4 linked regions of the Arabidopsis thaliana genome follow. The protein of the gene in region 4 interacts with the protein of the main gene of each other region in a pairwise test. Each region holds a gene or a part of one and is shown on either strand. Other genes may lie near its edges.

Region 1 (8,039 bases), on a different chromosome or scaffold from region 4:
TTACAAAAGTACCAAAATACTTGTATAAGATATTTATACAAAAGAAAGACAAACTCCAAATTCCTGATGATGGTCCATCTAACCACAAGAAGGAAAGAAAAACAGTAACTGTAACACAAAAAGAAATCCGAAAGCATTCTTTCTAACCTAGTTTTTGTTTTTGTCTAATTCAGTATGTGACAGGGGAAGTCAAATTCCCGAACCTCGTAAAACCATCTACATATTCACTTTCAAGTAAAAAGTTTTTCACTGCTTAGTTTCATCAAATAAGCAGACCAAAACTTAACACTAACAAACACTCAATGGTATTCTCTTGTGAGGTTCGATCTTGACTCCTCCGCTTTTCTCAAACTGAAATCTCTCTCTTTTTTCCATCATCACCATTTTGTTATTTCCTGCAGAAAGAAGAAGAAAAATATGATTACATCATATAATGGCGTAAAAGCGAGAAGAATATATTTAGTGAAAGTAGTACCTAATGGATGGTTTTCAAGCAGTCTCACAAGACATTGAAGCTTTGATTCTCTCAACAGTGCAAGCTATTAGATTGTTGACAGTTGCAACAGAGCCAAGAGACAGCTTAGCCGTAGGAACTGAGTCAACCAGAATCTGAAAAGCAACAGTCAAGAGCGACCCTCCATCTCCTCCAGGGGCTCCACTATTGGCATTACCATCAGGAAGAATAGCAAAACCTGATGGAAGCAGAGCCACATAGTCTGGATCACCTCCATTAAGCACTATGTTCATAGCTACAATATCGACTGGAGCATAGATCACAAAGGAAGCTGTAGGATCAGTGCAGCTCTCTTGTAGGATCAGCATATTGCTCTGGCTAGAGTTTGCACTCTGTGACATAAAGAAAGATTGAAAACTCTTAGCTAGGATCAGATGATTATAACAATAGTTCAAAACCCGGTGTAACTCACATTTACCCGAAGAAGAGAAACACAGTTTCCGGTATCCCTCCCGTTAGCAATATGTGCCATTTCTTGCACAACTCCTCCATTAGACAGAATATCCCACTGCAAAATCTCACAAAAACATCAAAACTCTGTCCAAAACAGAACAAGAGAGCGTAGTAACTAAAATAGTTACCTCATTTCTTGAATTCTCGTCTCTGAGGAAGTCAAAGACTCGCTTTGGAGGAACAGGGATCCAAAAAGAAGTGGCTGCACTAAGAACAATACCAGGAGGCCTTCCTGGATCATCCACACTCTTCCTAGTCATCACTCTAACATCTTCAGCTCCTGTACCGGACAATGTAGTCCACGTGTGAGCGGTTGAAGCACTCACTCCTGCACAAAAGCTTATAACCATCCGCTCTGCCAATTTCAGCATACTCCTCCTCCCTTCTTGGTTGGTTATCACTGCATATTCATTAATATAGAACTGTGATTCTGACTCTGACTCTGATTATGAAAACTGTTTATGAAACAAACAGTAGGTTATACCGCCAACTTCTCCAGAGGAAATGTTTGTAGCCATGACACTAGCTAACCGCTCGCATTGGCGGTCAAGAATGGCTACCCAGCGTTTAGCACCAAAGGCATGACCAGTACTAACCATGTGTTTGTATAAGTTATGAACTCCTCTGTCATCAACTTCCACATGCTCCACCCAAGTCACCTGTTACATTAATTCTCTCTACTTAAGTAAACATTTTGTATAACCTAATGTTTTTATTATATTACCTTAGAATATCCATTTGGCAATTCTTGAATCAAACATCCTGAAGCTCGCCGCCTGCATCTAGCCGGGGGATTTGGTTGGAGACTATCCAACGAAATATCGACAACCGCCCACGAACCATCTCCTTGTTGTTTACAGTAACGTGCGAAATAGGTTTCACGTGTTGGGACTAATGGAGATGGAACTTGAAACTCTGCACTCATCTGCAAGCAAAACAGAGTGGTTATTTCAGTTTGAAATTTAATTTTTACAGAATAAAAGCAAAAAAAATTACCACTTGAAGAGCTCCATTATAGTTTCCTGCAACTCCTGTCGATAAAACCGCTAATGTCATTGCTCTAGAAACCATCCCCGCGAAAATCGTCGACCATTGATTCTGCAACATCATATCAATGTTGTTGAAACTAAACAGAGAAGATTGCTTTTAAGTAAAATGAAAATGTTAATTACCACATCCATGAGAATCTCAACGATGTTAACATGATTCATGATCACAACCGCGCTTTCTCGCGAAGCTTCTGATCTATATCCAGCCGGTCTAGGTCCGATCCCTCTAGGAAAGGTCCTTGCATATTCTTCTTCGTCTAAAACCAAACTCTTCCACAGAGGCTCGTCTACTTGAACCATCCTCATGAGCTCTTCCATTGCAGCCACGGATAAGTCGATGATGACAGGTTTGTCAGATTCTGTTGGTGCAGTGATGGACTTAAGGAGATCGTTTGGATTGTTTCCATAAGCTTCTCCTCCAATATTTCCCATGGCGAGTTCTAGTGGACGTGGAGGAAGAGGAGGAGGAGACATAAGTGGATAGTTTGAGACTGGCTTGCCTACGTATTTAGCTGCGATTGCGGATATACGGTCGATCTAAAACAGACAAATAAGAAAGATTATTGATCCTTGTGGTTTTCAAAGTTTGGTCACAAGAAGAAACGTTGAGTAATGTTGTTATTATGTACTACTACTCCTTACAGTTCCAAAAATATCGTTTTAGTATCTCAATTTAATATCATAATTTTTTCTATTCTTCAATGAAAAAAAAATGTTTAAATTCTCTAATTTCAATACAAATCTATAAAAGTTTTTATTTTATGAAGAAAGAAATGATTATTGTGAAAGCGATATAACATTAGTGGTATAAAAACAAATTCTAATTTTTTATTTTATCTTCTTGACAACATTTAAGTGTAAAACTCTTAACATTATTTGAACATTTAAAATAGTTGATTCTCATACCTCTTCCCTTAATCGAGCATTTTCGAGACGGAGTTGGTGTTCGTCGAATGACATTTCTCCGATAGCTGTTGGACCACCACAATTAGGACACGAAGCATTTGCAAGAGCCTCTCGATATCTTAGGTTGTCGTTTCGAAGCTTTTCGTTCTCCGCCCGAAGATGTGAGTTCTCATGCCGCTCGTGATGATTCTGCGCAAATAAAACTTATATTCCGGTTATCTCTAAAGTTTTATACAAGTGATTTATTTCTAATTTGGGTAAAACGAAGGAACAAAGGATTTTACTTAAAAAGAGGAAAAGTGTATGTTTCAAATAAAACACTCGTGTACACGTTATGTGTTTCACCGTATTTGCATAACGTAAGCATATGTGTCCAAAACGTTTCAATCTATAGATTATATATGGCTCTAACTAAGATAATAAATAGGCAATGTTGTTACAACCAAACAATTTTCTATAGCTTGATCCGCCAAATATATAGTTCTGCCAAAGGAACAACTTTTCAATTGAAAAAAAAAATAAGTAAGAAATTTTAAGTCAAAGTGTCTCAACTAGATCTAAAATCTGCCAAAAGTCAATGAATTCATTCTGAAAGAAAACACCAGCCACCCAAAATGTTCTTAAGTATAAAGATAAGCCCTTCAATGTATATATACAAGACTTAATATGAATGAAATAACAATTTAATTAACAAGTATATATATTTTCTCTAATATATATAGATCCATTAACTAATGTATATATGTTCATAATATAAAAAGTATACCTTCATTTGGGTACGTTTGTTTTGGAACCAGAATTTGACCTGAAGAGGTTCCAAATTCAATTCACGGCTTAGCTGTTTCCTTTGCTTGTCATCTGGGTGAGGACACTCTTTGAAGAACCTATTTAACAACCAAAACAAAAGAATTGTCAAAAAACACACAAGAAAATTGAAGTAAGTGAGTAAGTTAAACACATACGCTTCCATCTCCTGGATCTGAAGTTGGGTGTGTCGATGATATCGTTTCTTCTTGTTAGGATGAAGAGGATCTTGGTCGTTTCCTGATCCTCCTTCTTGATTCTCACTTCCCGATTTAGTATTCGGACTGTCGAATTCATCGTCCCGAAGAAATCCTTCATTATTGTTGTCTTCATGGTTGTAGTTGTGGTTATTGCTGTCTGCGTTGTTCATAGCCGCAAGCAGCATATTTGGCTCGAACATCTTTTCTTATACTCCGGAAACTGAAAGCAAACCCTAGAAGCAAAAAAAAGTAGAGAGTTTTGTCAAAATTTAGGGTTTGAAGAAGAAGGGAAATTTCTTCGAGGCTGGAAAAATATGGCAATACTTTTGTCCACGTCAACAACTTTACAACCTTCTTTTTGTATGAACAACAATAACTTAAATCTTTCTTCGGAGTCGTTTATCTTTCTTCTTGAAGATCATACAAAATGATATAAGCAAACAGAAGAATTGGAGATGATTGTAGGAAACAAAGGACCCACTAATTGAAAGCAAGAAAAAAGAGCCTTGCATAAAAAAGACATCACAATCACAAATTAATTTGTTATTGAATAACCAACCCAAAAATAATGAATTTTCACATACTCAAAATTATTCGAAACTACCGATTTTTTACCCTTTTAAAAGAAAAGAAAAAAACTAATCAGCAGACTGAAATAAAAACTATGATTGATTCAAGAGTCATATCATATGTAGTGTAGATGGAAATCAATTGTTGTCCAAAGAAAAAACTTTAAAATTTCTACACTATAATAGCTTTGATGGATGGTGATTTAATTTAAAATTTCGAGGTATTTTGATCAGTTTTGATTTAGATGGGATAGGAAAGAGAAGACGAAAAGAGAAATGTTGGACTCATTTGTTCAAAGCAAATAAAATGGGAAAAAGTAGGTACAAATAAATTCCCAACTCTATCCTGTTTATTAAAAAAACAATATTTTCGTGAGAACAAAACAAAATTTAATTAAATATAATCATTAGTAGATTTTCAAAAAATAAAAACTCTTCAGGAAAAAGTGTAAACTACTATTTGGCGATTAAGAAAGAAAAAAAAATTGAAATGAAAAAAATAGTATTATATCTGTGCACCTGTGCGACGGACCAACATATAGTTATTATACAACTTACAACCAACGTGACATAAGGCCTGGGTGATGTATTAATTTTTTCCAGCTATTTCTTATCATCATCATCGTATTTAAACGTTTTTATTACACACATTAATATGTAAATGTATACTACTACTATAAAGTATATACACGTGTTTATATATAAAACCAAACGTATAATGAAAATAAGGATATACGAAGAGAATACAAACCTTTCTGTTTTTTTTGGTAGGCAAGGGAATACTAACCTTTAATCTTTCCTCTTTATTGTTTTCTTGAAGGTTTCATCTCTGACTATGCAGAAATTGATAAGATTATTTAAAGAAGAATACAATAAATCAGAAAGTCAGAAAGCAAATTAGGAGAGGAATGAAAGATATTAGAGGCAAGAAATCAATTAATTAATGCTAAAGAAGGCAAAATTTAAGACAAAATATAGATGACTAACTGAAAATTCAACATACAGGATATATTAAATTATAAAAAAAAAACATCATGAAAGTGAGAGTTTTATAAAGATGCTAAGAAAACTGAAGTGTAATGGATCCAATGATACTTTAAACAAATAAATTTGTGTACATGAATTAATGGATAAAATAAAGAAAACAGCAGAAATGATGAGGTTTTCGAGACATACACTGGGATATAGGAAGAAGCGACGAAACCCTAGAGGGAGAGAGAGAGAAGAGTAGAGCGGTGTCTGGTCTGAGATTTGTTTCTCGGAAAACCGCTGATGGTTTTGTGAAGCGCGGTTTTGTTGGCGAGCAAAAGGTTTGAAAGGTAGGTGCAAATCTTGGAGGAAGAGAGATGAGAGAGTAATGACAGAGAGAATTGAGAGGGTGCAATGAAATTAAATGGTGCGAGAGGGACACTTAATTATCCTACACGCTTATATATATATAGAGAGAGAGAGATATGTTACAATTTATTTTATTTATGTTACAAAATTATGTGTTGTTTTTCATCTTATATACAATGTCAACCTAAAATAATTTTATTTTTTATTTATTTAAAATATTATAATGTGGTGAGGAATGACGGCTAACGGTCTATGAGCCTATGAGACTTACATTTATCTATTAGATATGTAGTTATTTTTAAAAAATCATTAGCATTATTCATAACTTATGCATATGCAATAAATCACCACTTAACAAAATTAACTATATTAAAAAAAGATTTAACTATATTGAAATTTGCTTTAATACAGTTCTCCATTTACAGAAAAAGTTAGACAATAGTCCCCATTTGTCAAGGATACAATTTTAAAAGTAATTTTCTGAAATTTTAATACTCTTAGATTATTTATAATATGGAAAAAAATTATATAGTTTTTTAACTAAAATTCAATGACTTGTTATAGTTAATATTTATCTTTATGAGATATAAATTTAATTTTTACTTTCAAAAAATATGACTATTATATTTTTAACTATTTTATTTTATTATTATTTCATATCTTTGTTATAAATTTAATTGTAAAGAAGGAAAATTTCATGATTCTTCTTCCACATGGCATTTTCTTAAATATTATAGAAGTTTAGGTTGTATTATTGTTAGTCAGACAGAAGTTGATTGAGTGATGTATTTATTTTATTTCATTTAAAAGAAGAAAATCTAAAAATCATCACCTTAATTTTGAGTTTTGTTTACGAAACAATTGTTTTTTCAATTTAAGGAAGTCAATGAAATATCACTTTTTTCACAGTAAGACTTCATTTTACATGCCTAGAAATATTAATTACTTTGTGGCCCAAGCATTTATAACTATAACGTGCAATTAAGCTATTTAAAATACGGATCACCCATTAAAAAGGTGATAATTTGTAAAAGCCATGCATTCATCTTAATTTATCACGCGAATATATAGAGAAATATACTGCGTATTTAATTACCTAGTTCTTAAGCTTTGTTTTTTTTTTTAAAGTCCTTATAGCTATAGCTTTAACACTCAAGTTTTTCTTTTCAGTAAGTTTATACTTTACCTAGATTCTTTAAAATAACTATATATAAAAAAACAATAACCCAACTTATTTCTGATTTTTACTGTATATATGTAGGTACAGATATATAGATGGAGTTATACGTACGTACGTATGCGATAGGGTGGCGAATAGTTTCGACGCATTAAATGTGTACACAGAGGCTGCATGGGCTTTAGGCCATTTACTGCTCTCATGCCTCTCTTGCACTTTAACCTCCTCTTCCTTCTTCGTACTCTCCTACTAAAAAAAACTAGTAATTCAACGCCTAACATTTTAGTTTTTTCTTTTTTTTTTTTTTTTTTTTTTAGTTTTTTCTTTTTTCCTGCTACATCACTAAAAGTTAATTATTTCAAAAAAGAATTGCTACAATACTATTCACATTTTAAGTTTGTTTCATCCTCGTAAGTCTCAAATATTTATTTTTAGTTTATTTCTTTTTTTTGTCAAACTTTTAGTTTATTTCAATTAGTGTTTTTTCTGCCAATATGATCAAATCTGAGATTCAAAATGGAATTCTTCTGTTGAAAAAATGGATGCTTTTGTAATAAATTCAAGATCGTAGTTTTTTTTTGTTTCTGGGCTTCGTATATGGGCCATAAGACGGAAGTAAACTTTTGGCCCATTATATATTTTATCCCCAACGAGAATGGCAAGGCCGAAAGTCTCATTCTCCGAGAGTGGAAAGTTAGTTAAGGAAAATGATTGATTTTTTTGTTTTGTTTTGCATTAGTCTATAGGACGACTTGTTTCACAAGAAACTAGCCGTATATTGTAATATCCAATCACTGAATTGAGCAACTTGGATAGTTTACATTGAGAATGCAGGAACGTGGATTCCACAAACTATAACAGTTTATTATAGTTTTTAACTTTTGAGAGCTAAGGACTAATAAAAAAATTCCCCAAACTACATCTTCTCCAAAGTCAATAGCTTTTCAAAGCGCAAAAGATGATTTGAAGCTTTCTTAATCGTTGCATGATTTCGATTTCTTCTAATTGTGGAAATTTAATATATTTAAT
Region 2 (5,777 bases), on a different chromosome or scaffold from region 4:
GCAACGGTCATATCCCCACAATATGGTGACTCGGCTCGCTGGTCTTTGACCCTTCTTGAATCATCATTAGTCTTCTTAGAATTAATTTGCTGGTGAATAATTAACCCTAGGCCTTGTGCTTGATTGAGACTCCAATTGGGCAAGAGTCCTCCAAAATGCTCTTCATCAATCGGTTTGATAAATGTACCGGCTGATTTGGTATGGTCCCGGTTTGGTTTAATTTGGATGTCCGCATCAGATGACGAGTGGGTGCAAAGGGAGAATCTTTAACTTAATCTTTCGACAATAGTTTTTTTTTTTCTGGTAGTGATTCCATGACCTATGTATTATGATGTAATGCTTTCGCATAAGTCATAATATATGCCTGAAACCGTGTTCGAAGCAAAGATGGTTTTGAGACTTATCAACTATCGATGTTTTACATTTTGTGGATTTTGTTTTAGCTTGTGGAAAGGCATGTAAGAATCCATTAGATCAATTTGGGTTTTGTCTTTCAAAACCATACATTTCATGCCATATAAAATAAAAAAATGGAGCAACACCTTTTCAGAATAGCATTTTCCTTTCACACATTATTAAATAAAAACATTAGTGAGAAAACAAAAAAACAAAATACACCGAAAAAAAGAGAAAATAAAATGAAGGGATATTTCTGACTAGGAAGTCTCAAACTCCCCGAACGACATAAGACATTACAAAAGGCGTGAAAACAAAGAAAGCTATAAGTAGCAAACTGATGTAGGGGAATTCAAAACATGAGTTGTAACAAGAAAGCAACGAGAGGTTGTTATTATGTGGCTAAAGCTTTTGGATGTCTTATGGACCGAGACGATAAGGTCCATCACCCATGTAATGACCATCCATGTACAGAGCTGCGTGGTGCGGGTGCTGCAGACCATCCATCACCATGAACTGCATGTCTTCAGATGGTTTCCAGTGACGCTTTCTTTGGTTTATGAACCAATTGTTGATTTGTTTCTGATCTAACCCCGTTGATTCCGCCAACGCTACCTTCTCTGACTCCTGCCACACAACTCAAACCAACCATCTTCATTTATGTAGTAATCAATGTATAAAAAGCAATGCTAGAGATAATCGAAAATTATTTTTAAATGATTCTAGACATAAAAATGGAAAATGACCTAAAGTTTGTTGTTTTGAACGATTCTCTAAGTAAAATGACTAACTTCATTTTTCTTTGACATCAAGTAACGACTAACTATATGTTGTCTTATTATCTTTTTAACAACATGTCATTTATATTTACCAATATTAAACATGTTTTTTTCACTATCATTACAGTCGGTTAGATTAGTTATTTCATTTCAAACTAATTAAAACTACAAAAAAAATTAAATTGTTTCAAAATATATGGATAAAAATTTCATCACAAACTTACATTTTTTAAAAAAAAGTGATTGATATACGTGTTAGAAAATAGTATGTTAAGGGTTAGAACACCATGACTAAGATATGTATCCTAGTGACTAATTCTAGTGTTGTGAGCATTCGGATTTAAAACCATGTTGTTGGAAACCGTACAAGGATTTAAACACAAAATCGGTCATGCAAGTACCTACTTGGCCTAACATAGCGGCTTCAGAGGGAATTGCTAGCTTAAAGATAGGTTTTTAAAACACTTAATTTGTAGTATATATTTTAAAAAATATGAGGGCAAAGAGAGATGAGAGAAAATTTATACGTACAGAAGGATATGGCCACTTGTAATGCAACTCCCACCACGTGAGAAGCTTCTGCCGTGCTTCTTTAGGAAGTTTACCTTTCTTTTTCTTCTTGGATAGTTCTTGCTTCAAACTGCTTAAGTATCCACTATACTTCTTCAGCAAATGGTTCTTGAGTTCCCGATCTTCGGCCCTCGGGTCTATTTCCGGTAATTCTGTTTCCCCTCCGCTGTTATTCTCTTGTTCTTCGTCTGATGATCCCATATTGTCACTCTTCCCATCTGCTTCAACATAATATATTTCATGAAGTTAAATGGTTTAGTCATTTAACAACATTCTAGTCATCTACCTTTATGATTAGACTAATTAATCCGAGTAGAGATTTTGATGTTTTAGCATAACGAAATCGAAGAAGATAATGTCCCAAATAAATCTTCACGAGCAGCACCAAAAGTTCTTGTGATAGTACTTTTGGGCCGAGTGAAAAGAAAAAAAACAAAAATAAGCCCCACCCATCTTTGGATGGATTCCACAATGGGGAAAACAAGAACAAATATGCACACCTATTTGTATCTTACATACTTTCCAACAATAATGCATCTCAATTATCTTAATTATCTTATAATCTTAATTAACATTTGAAAATGTATGTAGACTATGATTTTTTTTTTTTTTAATATCTCAATGTTACAACAATTTACCATGAACCAAAGAAACATGCCAATTTATGCAATCCATCATTAGCCCTACCTTGCCACTACACTTTGTTTTCTCCAGCCATTTCTTACATGTGCATATATGTATGTATATGAGATTGATGACATGTACCAGGATTGTTGAGGATGTGAATGGGACTCTGACACAACATGCTAAGCTGAGATTCAATACGACGTATAAACTCCATTGCTTCCTGAATGGGCCTTGTTAGCTCCTCACGATATTTAACCAACATGTCACAGTATGCTTCCTATTCATACCAAAAAATAAAAAAGGAAAATCAAGACTTCTAACACATATACACACAAAGAACCGACCCATTTAATTAAAATTCAACTTTGGTTAGTAATGAACCATGAATTGATCTAACTCCGGGTCTCTAGAGGAGGCAGAGACAGACGGTGTTGACCGCTGTTGTCGAGCCTCAAAGTCTTGCCGTGCCGCCGTAATTCTATCAACCACATCAGGTGGAGCTCCAATCTATATAAACCATGACCCATGAACATACATATATATGTCACACATAACTATATATTATATCTTTAAAAAAAGAGTATATATTATAACATAACAATAAGAATAAAACCAAACCTTTTGGCAGTCCAAGTAAGCTTGTAGGAGGGTAGAGTAGTGAGGATGAGCAATGATTTTAGCCTTCATGGCTTCAACATCGCTTACGTTGTCATTGTTGTTGTTGTTAGCTTCTTGAGTATTGTGGATGGCTCTCATTAACATGGAGTAATGATTGATTCTTGAGGAGCTAGCTTCAGATTTAACAGATGGGTTGTTGTTGTTGTTGGGTTGATCATGATCAGATCGGAAGCAATTCTCGGTTGTTTGAGGGAGAAGAGAGCTCATATGTGGAAACAACATGTGTTGGTGGTGATGATTGTTGTTGTTAGTATTATTGTAACCAGGACCATAATTGCTACTATTATTATTGTTGTTGTTGTTGTTGGTATCACTTGTGTTATCGTTTTTGTTGGAAGAAGAGATTGGAGAGTACAAGAAACTTACTCTTTGAGGAGTGGTGCTGTTGTCATGCTGGTATTCTTCCATACCCAGATGAGTAAAGATTTGAGAGAGAGAGAGAATATAAAAATCAAAGAAAAAAAATAAATTAAAAAAAAATAAAACCCTAGAAAAATAAAAAAGGATGGGTGTAAGATGAAGAGGATGTATGTATTCTTGCTTTTGTTCTTATTTCAATCAAAGGTCTCTGTAAGACTATAACCACATCAAATCCAGACGACTAGACGACTCATCTATGAAATCAAAAAGGCCTAACTCAAATTAATATAAAAAAAGAGAGAAAATTTTGTGAGGTGAAGTTGCACCCAAAGAAAAACCAAATAAATTGAAAAAGATATATTTGAGGAAGAAAAAACGAACTAGGTATATAGAATTCGTCAAGGAAGTGACATGGAAGAGAAGAAAATAAAAAAAAAAAAAAGAGAAAGAGAGAAGAAGAGAGAAAGAGAGAGAGAGAGAGATTAACAATAATGAAGAAGTTGGGTGGCTTGAGTGGATTGACAAGACGTCGTTTGCTTTGGGAGCAAAAAGAAATATTTGAAAATTAAAATAAAGGTAAGAGAGAAGGGACAAGAGATAAGGCAAAGGCTTCTCTCTTCTGTTTTCCTCTCATAGGCTATTTTATACATTAGAACAAGACTAAGTAATTTACTTAATTAAAATGTGGTTTATAATATTCGAATTAAGATGAACCACTCAGTGTTTAAGCAACTAGGTCTTCGCGGCTACTTCAGGCTATGGTTTCTTGCTAGGTTGAATGATATATTTTGTACTATTTTCTAGTAATGAAATGTTTTTTTTTCTTAAAAGAATAGTCAAGAAAAAAGTTTTAAAAAAAATATGTATGATTTATATATACTTCTAATACGATATAAACCCAAGAATTTGTAGTCTAGTGGTTGAACATAGAGTTCGTTCAACAAATTGTGATCATGTGTCACATTATAATTCTATACTTAGGAGAGGGGACTACGTTTATCTTGTTCTGGTCCTCGGTTTCACTGTACGGGTTTCTGCCTAAAACTTACGGATAACAAAAAAAGAATTATAAACAATATGATAGAAATGTACATATTTGATGCAAGACTTGGATGTTTTTGGAGTTTAATCAAATCGATGAAATTATAATTTTAGTTTTCGTAATTTCGTATGTATATTAGTGGAGAGATCACACTATCCGAATATTTGTTATCGGATAGAAGATTACATTAGAAACCGAGAAAAAAAAAAGGAATTATAAAAATGCTTTACAGGATAGTGGATATTATACGATATTCTGCTAATTTCCAACTATTGGCTCTATGATAAGACCATGCTGCAAACACACTTCTTTCAACACTTGTTCTGTTCCACGGTCAACATTCAATTTTCTATTTAATCTCGATTTATATTTCATGATTCATGAGACGTATAGAGTGCCTATGAATTCATTTTTATACAAAAAGAAACGAAAATCCTAGGGTTTTATTTATATATAAATCGTCAAATCCTAGGGCTCTAGATCAAAAAGTTGGCTCATCGATAGATTTTTTTTTTTGTTTACCTCATCACTGCACTAGACCGAAACTTACATTGTGACTTGTGAGAGTTTGTAAACAACAAAATGTAAGATTTCTTACAAATTATGACTTGCTATGCCGGAAATTTTGATAGTAAATATTTAAATATATATGTATACATATATTATTTCTTACTATTAAAAAAATAAAATCAGCTGCTTAGAACCAATATTATTAGAATTTCATTAAAAAAAATCGAAAATGTTAAAGGTTAAATTTTTGCATTCGAAATGTTTTCTTTTCCTTTAAGACCTCCTCTTATTTTCTGTTTCAGTATAAGATGCTGAAACATTGACATCATAAAAGATCATTCATTAAGGGTACATCTTTGAATTAAATATCATAATATTCCAAAACACAAGTGCAATAGACTAAAAACACACTATAAATAAGTCTCTGATCCCAATATTCTCATTAATATGGTCATGCAAGAAGAATATATATATATATATATATATATATATATATAAATAAAAATATTATAATACCCATAACCATATGGATCTAATTTCTTATAATTTTCTATTAAAAAAAAAATTGTTTTCAAAAGTGTGTACAATTTCATAGAATTCTATCTTTTAGATTAGAAAGTCAATTATAACAATAAAATAAAACATTCAATTTATTATATAAAAATTCACCGGTAGGCATAGATTGTTCTCTAAATTTATTAATAAACTCATTTACTCATAACTATGTAACGACTTGTATGAGGTTATCTAAACCTGCAATAAAACACTCAAGAGATACACTAATTAAACTAATCTCTAAATACAACATAGCTACT
Region 3 (4,821 bases), on a different chromosome or scaffold from region 4:
ATTGGTCCATCTGCCACCTCATATCAGATTTTGACAATTCACATTTTTTGGTCCATCTATTTTGTGCCGATGCGTATGCATGGTTCTCTATCATTGAAATTTGTTAAGAGACACTTTTTTCACTATTTCAAAAAGACTCAAACAATCTTGTAAACCCAAGTTATTCTTCCTTTTTTTTTTTGTTCCAAAAATGCCTAGTATTTCAAGAATTCAGTAATCCAATTTTACTTGTTTAAAATTGGCTTGTTTATGTAATTAACATATATCACGACTTGTATTACTTCTTTAGAAAAAATAATGTTTGGACTAAAAAGCAGACTAAATATTCATTACGAATGATGTGACACCATTTTCATTTGTTAGCTTCTACTACTATAAAAAATAAATAAAGGAATCAATGAGTGCACCTTTAATTTTTTTGGTTAATCAACGAGAGCACTTGATATCAAGTATGACGATAACCAATCAAAGTAAAAAACTTTGGATGTCTTTTTCTCTTTGCTAGTAAATTAATAATTATACCTACCGAATTTGTAACACATTACACATTGACATGGTGCATGTTTAATCCAATACTATCGACGTCACTCTATACTCCGTAAGTAATAGTATATATACATTGAAATGATCCATTATACCATCTGATAAATTTTTGTGAAGTGGCTAAAAATATAAACAGTTTTTTTTTTTTTGTGAGAAAATGATGTAACGGAGCATAATTATTCGTGGAACACAAGAACATGTAACCAACCATGTAGCACAGCGTTAATTGAGATGGTCCATACGAAGAGCCGTCAACGGTGGGAATGGTCATCTCAATTCTCATCAGGGCCTAGCGTATAAAAATACTTTAGAGACGTGTAATAATCACATGGGATCTTTGGGACCACAGTCTAAATGGCGTACGGTAAGTTCAAGGGACCCGTTTTACACGTGGACCCAATCACATGTTGTCAGTTCTGATTTTCACGAAAATAATTTCGAATATTTTTGTAAGACATTAATTAGTGGGACTAATTGTTATTTTCTGATCTGTGTAATCTTATTATGATTTAAGAATAGTTGCCGTAAGCGACGGCGTTAAGTACATACTACAATTGTATTAACCAATTTTATCTACAAATAGCAAAAAAAATCGAGACTATACTTTAAAAAGAAACGATTACAACTTAACTCTATCGTAACATGTAATTGACAAAATAGTGAATGCTATTTAAGTGTAAAGACTGAATGCTACTATTTGATAATTACTGTTATTTTGAAATGGGTTTATATATACTGCAGTTTACTTTTCTACCCCCTTGCTCGAAACATGCCTACATTATTACAAAGGGGAAGGCTAGGGCACTCAAACAGTATGATGAAAGCTTTTAGTTCCCCATCCAAAGAACAAATATAAAAGTCTTTTGTAATTAATGAAAATGTTACTAGTTCTTATCCACTCTTACAGATAAATACTAATAAGGTTTAATTTTTTTTTTAAAGATCTTATAAAAAATGTTAGAAAAGGAGCTTTTTCTTATATTCAATTTAAATTTTTTAACAATTTAAAACTAAAACGGGAAAACGTCATAGTCCCTCAATCTCTTTTTAATAAAATGGAATATTAATTTCCATAATGGGTTTAATGATGGTTTACTTTTCCCAATACAAAAGTTCCATTTTATTTAATAAGACTATACTAAATACTTAAACTTTTTAATAAAAAATATCTGTATTTTAGATCAAAAGTTACAATCACACAAAACCAACACAACAAACTCCTTAAAAAAGCGACAAAAAGTAAATTGTACCACTAGTTGCATGACAATCTTTTTAGTTGTTCAAAATTGTATGACCATCTAAACTCTAAAGTAATACTAACTTTAGAAAATATTAATCTGTAAAAAGCTATATATTCCCTAATATATTAGTTTATTAATTTCAATATATTCCCTAATTACAAATTTTGGTGTGTGTGTGATTTTCAGCCTTATCTCTTTGAGCTGTAGATGTTGCTGTTAGCCCTCTGATCCATGATTCATCGGACATCGAGCCCCATCACGAGCCTTTTTATTCTCAACAATAATAATCATTTTTTTTCTTATAACCTTCCTCTCTATTTTTACAATTTATTTTGTTATTAGAAGTGGTAGTGGAGTGAAAAAACAAATCCTAAGCAGTCCTAACCGATCCCCGAAGCTAAAGATTCTTCACCTTCCCAAATAAAGCAAAACCTAGATCCGACATTGAAGGAAAAACCTTTTAGATCCATCTCTGAAAAAAAACCAACCATGAAGAGAGATCATCATCATCATCATCATCAAGATAAGAAGACTATGATGATGAATGAAGAAGACGACGGTAACGGCATGGATGAGCTTCTAGCTGTTCTTGGTTACAAGGTTAGGTCATCCGAAATGGCTGATGTTGCTCAGAAACTCGAGCAGCTTGAAGTTATGATGTCTAATGTTCAAGAAGACGATCTTTCTCAACTCGCTACTGAGACTGTTCACTATAATCCGGCGGAGCTTTACACGTGGCTTGATTCTATGCTCACCGACCTTAATCCTCCGTCGTCTAACGCCGAGTACGATCTTAAAGCTATTCCCGGTGACGCGATTCTCAATCAGTTCGCTATCGATTCGGCTTCTTCGTCTAACCAAGGCGGCGGAGGAGATACGTATACTACAAACAAGCGGTTGAAATGCTCAAACGGCGTCGTGGAAACCACTACAGCGACGGCTGAGTCAACTCGGCATGTTGTCCTGGTTGACTCGCAGGAGAACGGTGTGCGTCTCGTTCACGCGCTTTTGGCTTGCGCTGAAGCTGTTCAGAAAGAGAATCTGACTGTAGCGGAAGCTCTGGTGAAGCAAATCGGATTCTTAGCCGTTTCTCAAATCGGAGCGATGAGAAAAGTCGCTACTTACTTCGCCGAAGCTCTCGCGCGGCGGATTTACCGTCTCTCTCCGTCGCAGAGTCCAATCGACCACTCTCTCTCCGATACTCTTCAGATGCACTTCTACGAGACTTGTCCTTATCTCAAGTTCGCTCACTTCACGGCGAATCAAGCGATTCTCGAAGCTTTTCAAGGGAAGAAAAGAGTTCATGTCATTGATTTCTCTATGAGTCAAGGTCTTCAATGGCCGGCGCTTATGCAGGCTCTTGCGCTTCGACCTGGTGGTCCTCCTGTTTTCCGGTTAACCGGAATTGGTCCACCGGCACCGGATAATTTCGATTATCTTCATGAAGTTGGGTGTAAGCTGGCTCATTTAGCTGAGGCGATTCACGTTGAGTTTGAGTACAGAGGATTTGTGGCTAACACTTTAGCTGATCTTGATGCTTCGATGCTTGAGCTTAGACCAAGTGAGATTGAATCTGTTGCGGTTAACTCTGTTTTCGAGCTTCACAAGCTCTTGGGACGACCTGGTGCGATCGATAAGGTTCTTGGTGTGGTGAATCAGATTAAACCGGAGATTTTCACTGTGGTTGAGCAGGAATCGAACCATAATAGTCCGATTTTCTTAGATCGGTTTACTGAGTCGTTGCATTATTACTCGACGTTGTTTGACTCGTTGGAAGGTGTACCGAGTGGTCAAGACAAGGTCATGTCGGAGGTTTACTTGGGTAAACAGATCTGCAACGTTGTGGCTTGTGATGGACCTGACCGAGTTGAGCGTCATGAAACGTTGAGTCAGTGGAGGAACCGGTTCGGGTCTGCTGGGTTTGCGGCTGCACATATTGGTTCGAATGCGTTTAAGCAAGCGAGTATGCTTTTGGCTCTGTTCAACGGCGGTGAGGGTTATCGGGTGGAGGAGAGTGACGGCTGTCTCATGTTGGGTTGGCACACACGACCGCTCATAGCCACCTCGGCTTGGAAACTCTCCACCAATTAGATGGTGGCTCAATGAATTGATCTGTTGAACCGGTTATGATGATAGATTTCCGACCGAAGCCAAACTAAATCCTACTGTTTTTCCCTTTGTCACTTGTTAAGATCTTATCTTTCATTATATTAGGTAATTGAAAAATTTTAATCTCGCTTTGGAGAGTTTTTTTTTTTTGCATGTGACATTGGAGGGTAAATTGGATAGGCAGAAATAGAAGTATGTGTTACCAAGTATGTGCAATTGGTTGAAATAAAATCATCTTGAGTGTCACCATCTATAAAATTCATTGTAATGACTAATGAGCCTGATTAAACTGTCTCTTATGATAATGTGCTGATTCTCATGAATATGCTCTTTTAATGTGCATGGTATTATAGGTGGACCAGATTATTTTAACAATGCTAAGTCGTTTTCAGTTTTCTTATTTGTTAATTTGAAAGAAGAAAAGTAAACAAAAGAAACCGAAAAGATACAAATGTCCACCTTTAATACATGTATCTGAAAGATATAGTAGGCGATTATATATGTCACCTAAAAAAAAAAAAGAGTAGGCGGATTATATTGTTCAACATCAACTGCACATAAATAATTCCACATATGTAAAAATGGGAGATGTTGATGTTCTTCGTAAATAAAAGACTGAAGTTTTTTTTTTTTTTTTTTGACAGCAATTGAAGTTGGTTTACGAACTTGTTTAAGAGATAAAAAAACATTCGACAGTGGTGGTAGTAGACTAGACTTCACTCGTGACCCTTTGGTATTATATAGTTGAGTGACTGTGACATTTGATCCTTTGTGATGTATAAAAAGGGCACGAGGGCGGTTTGATGGTTGATTATAGTCAACTTTTGCTACCCCACATATATGGGCCGAATAAGTGCTAATGGGCCTTAGTAAAAATCCCAAAACAAGTAGAAATGGTTCAGAAAAAAAGATAGCAACTTTGAGGTGG
Region 4 (4,086 bases):
GAGAATTAATAGAAAGTGAAAAGAGGATCGACAAAAGAGAAAAGAAAAAAAGAAGAATAATTAAAAGAAGATATATAGGGATCAGTGCTTGACTTGACTGCAGATTCAGTTGCTGTCTTAACTGCCTCATCTTCTTCTCATTTTCCTTCTCTCATTCGCCAATCCCAATAAGGCAATACTCATCACCTAAATCTATCTCTATATAGCTAGTTGTTGGTTGGAGTATATGATTCTACTCACTTTACATTAATCCAATTACCGGAAAGCTGCTACAACAAATCATATACCTATATATGAATATTCAGGATAAAACGTTTTAGTTGTCGTAAATCCTTCCAATAGGTTCAATAATGCTTTTGCGGCATATTTGGTTTCGGAAATGTAAGAAAATAAATATTCGGTTCGATTAGTTTACATGTTAAGCCCAAAATATATACATACAACGTATATTTGTGTCATTGTGTGTATGAGTGTGTTTATTTCTATTTGTAGATGATATCATATGTGTTGTGTTCCTTGTATACTACACATGCATGTGGTTGTGGACATATGAGTACAAGCTAGGGTTTGGCGTGCAATGAGGCCTGTGTTATAGCATATTTAGGCACTACAAACTTTACATACAAATGTGAAAAGTTTGTATGAGAGATATTATTTATATTGATTGTAGCGGTACAATGAATTAGATATTCTACCAACTCAATCACAACATGAATTATGAATATGTACCTTTGCTCGCATCAGATTTGGCGTCTATTATATAATCTTTAATAAGACTGTCTACTATAAATACACGCATGTGACGATTAATCAATCCAACAATAACCATTAAACCATATAAATCTCCCTCTCTCTATGTACATATAGTAAATGCCTTACATGTCACATGACTTGAATTCTTCAACTTGTTAAAGATCGTCTAAAAATAATCTGCAGCTGGAACTACTCGATATGGTCTGGTTGTGAGCTTGTGCTACTAAAGAGTTGAAGTTGACCACCACCGAGAAACGAAGGGTACCTTGTTGGGAATAGAGAACTCATAGTTTCCGCCGCCGGAGGATTGAGATTATTATTATTATAGTTATTAGAAAATGCGACAGTGACGTTACCAGATTGGTCTAGTAGTGACTGTTGGAGATGTCCAAGGTTGTAGTGATAAGAGCTGCTAGACGAAGTAATTGTAGGGAAATAAAGCTTGTTGCTCTGGATTGAATTCGAGAAATGGTTGTGATGATCGATGTGATCAAACACATGATCAAGATTAACCCATTTCCTTTTCTCAAGATCCAAAGCTTCTCTCTGTGTTCTTCCAAGATCGAAGACCCCGGGAAAAGATTCTCCAAGGCCGGTGAGATTAGGGTTAAGTTGGTGAAAACCAGGTGGGAATTGCAAAGGAGGAAGCAAATCGACGTCGTTTTTGGCAACTTCTAAGAGCCAATCAATGACTTTGCTAGGCTGACTCAGCCCTAATCGTTCTTGAAGGTCGTAGACTTGGATCGCTGTCATCACCGACAACCTTATCCTCCTGTCTCGGAGACCACGAACTGTGCACACTTTGCTGTGTCTATCTTTGCCTCCAAATGCTCGGGAGACTCGCACGATCCTCGGATTATTCCATCGTTGCGTCAACAAGGACAAGGAACTTTTCTGATCTTCTTTTTTTATTCCCATGTCCTCTGTCGATCTAAAAAACAAAAAACAGATGAACAAAATCAATATTGTCATCACAAAGTGTTCAAATTCGGAATGTTTGTGGATTTTTGGGAAGCGTGATCACTTTAATTAGATGAAAGCAACTTCAATAGAGTAAATAACAAAAACCTATTAAGATCAAGAAAACGTATATTACTCGAACTGCATATTAATTTAATTTACTAGATATTTTGTGTATATATACTTAAAAAAGATCAAAGGAAAGTGATTCTCAAATCGAAATAGATTACAATTGAATCAATAGGAAGATCTGAGGATCCAAAGAGGAAAACAAAGGTTTCAAATTATATTACTGCAAGAAAAAAAGATGATTAATCTTACACAGAAAAACTGGTAAGCTTGACGAAGTCGTTGGGTTTAGACAGATCGAGTGAGTTCTTTGTCACGTAGGTTGAGGAAAATGATAAGAACCGAGATGATGAACAGTTATAATTTATTCTCTCTCGTTATCTAAAACTAAAAGTGTATAATATAACATATGGTTGAGGCTGAGCAAGAAATGATATCTATATATATATACGCTCCAATCCCTAGGGTTTTAGTTAGGTATAAAGAGCAATTTGTGTAGTGTGTAGACTATAGACACTCTTATCCACATGTTTTCTGACGGAAAGAAAGATGCTATGATTTTCATTAATCACCCATACTAATAGTAGATAATAAATAAAAACATATACATACACTGATACACATATACATAATCAAAATGTGTACACATGTATCTACTTACTTAGAGATCATTCTTTAGAATGTCTAGTCCTGAATCTTGATGATGCATACGATCATTCTTAACGATATCTTTGACTCCATTCAATAGAAAATACTAATGTAAGAAAATTACATTTTCATTACACACTACATATGGATCTTTTGCTATATATCATTCGAAACAATAGTTCAAAATTACTGAGAACCAACTTATACATTACATTTGGTATAGGGCAAATTCCATTATATATAGTATGTGATGTGCATCAGTAAATGTTAAGACCCAAAACTTTTAAAAATTAGGGGTTTCCTTTCGATTTTCTTCGTGAGATGATCCCAATTGAGCTCCATAATACTGTACATATTATAGTAGGCAAATAGATTGACAGCTAAAATGGTTGGTCTTAGATGGAGGATGGACCAAATTAAAGAGTACATGTTTTTTTTTGTTAAAATAAAGCATCTTAGATATGTAATATGCTTATATACAGATTCATGGTGGACCACTATATAATTTGCATGGCAGTGAGATATCTAGTTCATTCTTTTAAGCATTATTTATATACACTGTCAGGATATCACAATAACAGAATTTCATATAACAAAAATATAATTATTAAATTTCATAAGAATTCTTGTAATTCAATAACAATGACATTGGGGTTTTATATCAATGAGTGAATTCTTGCCATACTGCCAAATTTCACTATATATCTTATAATAAACTGTTTTACTTTTCTTTTAAACGTTTCACAATTTATGACTAATTATTAGCTGCTTGTATACAATGTGTATAAGTAGACCTCTGCGTATGTGTATCAGAGAATCAGAGATTGAGAAGTTTCTCTAGTTGGGACCTAAGGTCGGCTGAAGTAGATAACGATGATTGGACTTCAGTTTCAAAAATTTATTAGCCTTTAGTGCGTTGGATTATGTAATCTTCAAGACGATTGAAGCATATACAAGAAAATAGTTTTAACCTTTTTTCCTAGAAATTTGTTAAGTATGAACGATTCCAATTTCATAGAGGTCAAATACATTACATACTAGCGGTAGATCACATACTAGTGATGGCGGTTAAAAACGAACCTTTAATTCGGTTACCAATATTGAATTGGATACTTGGACTTGAAATAAGCGGTTAGAAGCTCAAACGAATGATTTCAAACTGATTTGTCCTAAAACCACAATCAATTTCAAGTAAACCCTGCTTATCTTTTACCACTGCAAACCGGACCATATTCTCTGATCGCTAGAGAATCTTATTAAGTTTGGTCACACAACCTAGCTGTAACCACAATGAGTGCAAAACGGTAACCACAATGAGTGCAAAACGGTAACACAGAGTGCAATTGAAACGCTCATGTGTCCCAGTTTAGACCAAAAGTTGGAATACGTGCATATGATGACGTATGCATGTCACTTACACACAGACACATTTTGGACCCAAATTCCTGAGCCGTCGTTCTCGGTCTGTACGGCAGTAAATGCAAAAGGCTCATGCCGAGAGAGAGAAATAGTGACATGTCCTTGCAAGAGACAGGAGCAAAAGGTGAAAGAAACAGTAGTTTGGGGTAAAATTCATAAAAACACAAATTGATGGAGACATAGTGTTTCTGCTTCTTCTCCTTCTTCTTAGTCACTGATGCAGAGAAGAAAGGTAGT

What was found.
Region 1: the proteins of TCP17 (region 4) and HDG2 interact in binary tests that used the Arabidopsis thaliana proteins (3 or more experiments, as listed by UniProt).
Region 2: the proteins of TCP17 (region 4) and KNAT1 interact in binary tests that used the Arabidopsis thaliana proteins (3 or more experiments, as listed by UniProt).
Region 3: the proteins of TCP17 (region 4) and GAI interact in binary tests that used the Arabidopsis thaliana proteins (3 or more experiments, as listed by UniProt).

What each region holds. Positions count from the first base shown.
Region 1 is NC_003070.9:1,512,899-1,520,937, forward strand, and holds HDG2 (homeodomain GLABROUS 2), read right to left. Parts: upstream 6,003-8,039; 5' UTR 5,672-6,002; intron 5,329-5,671; 5' UTR 5,283-5,328; exon of another isoform or gene 4,160-5,282; 5' UTR 4,127-4,159; coding exon 3,885-4,126; intron 3,807-3,884; coding exon 3,689-3,806; intron 3,112-3,688; coding exon 2,923-3,111; intron 2,554-2,922; coding exon 2,140-2,553; intron 2,066-2,139; coding exon 1,964-2,065; intron 1,893-1,963; coding exon 1,692-1,892; intron 1,665-1,691; exon of another isoform or gene 1,627-1,664; coding exon 1,452-1,626; exon of another isoform or gene 1,368-1,451; coding exon 1,096-1,367; exon of another isoform or gene 1,023-1,095; coding exon 927-1,022; coding exon of another isoform or gene 906-926; exon of another isoform or gene 847-905; coding exon 490-846; 3' UTR 476-489; exon of another isoform or gene 402-475; intron 396-401; 3' UTR 3-395; downstream 1-2. UniProt on the Arabidopsis thaliana protein: Probable transcription factor. Involved, together with PDF2, in the regulation of flower organs development by promoting the expression of APETALA 3 (AP3) in the epidermis and internal cell layers of developing flowers.
Region 2 is NC_003075.7:5,147,153-5,152,929, forward strand, and holds KNAT1 (homeobox knotted-like protein), read right to left. Parts: upstream 4,008-5,777; 5' UTR 3,459-4,007; coding exon 2,991-3,458; intron 2,880-2,990; coding exon 2,754-2,879; intron 2,650-2,753; coding exon 2,511-2,649; intron 1,964-2,510; coding exon 1,707-1,963; intron 1,024-1,706; coding exon 817-1,023; 3' UTR 547-816; downstream 1-546. UniProt on the Arabidopsis thaliana protein: May play a role in meristem function, and may be involved in maintaining cells in an undifferentiated, meristematic state, and its expression disappears at the same time the shoot apex undergoes the transition from vegetative to reproductive development.
Region 3 is NC_003070.9:5,147,141-5,151,961, forward strand, and holds GAI (GRAS family transcription factor family protein), read left to right. Parts: upstream 1-1,841; 5' UTR 1,842-2,273; coding exon 2,274-3,875; 3' UTR 3,876-4,275; downstream 4,276-4,821. UniProt on the Arabidopsis thaliana protein: Transcriptional regulator that acts as a repressor of the gibberellin (GA) signaling pathway. Transcription coactivator of the zinc finger transcription factors GAF1/IDD2 and ENY/IDD1 in regulation of gibberellin homeostasis and signaling.
Region 4 is NC_003076.8:2,582,470-2,586,555, reverse strand, and holds TCP17 (TCP domain protein 17), read right to left. Parts: upstream 2,199-4,086; 5' UTR 2,035-2,198; intron 1,685-2,034; 5' UTR 1,672-1,684; coding exon 943-1,671; 3' UTR 521-942; downstream 1-520. UniProt on the Arabidopsis thaliana protein: Plays a pivotal role in the control of morphogenesis of shoot organs by negatively regulating the expression of boundary-specific genes such as CUC genes, probably through the induction of miRNA (e.g. miR164). Participates in ovule development.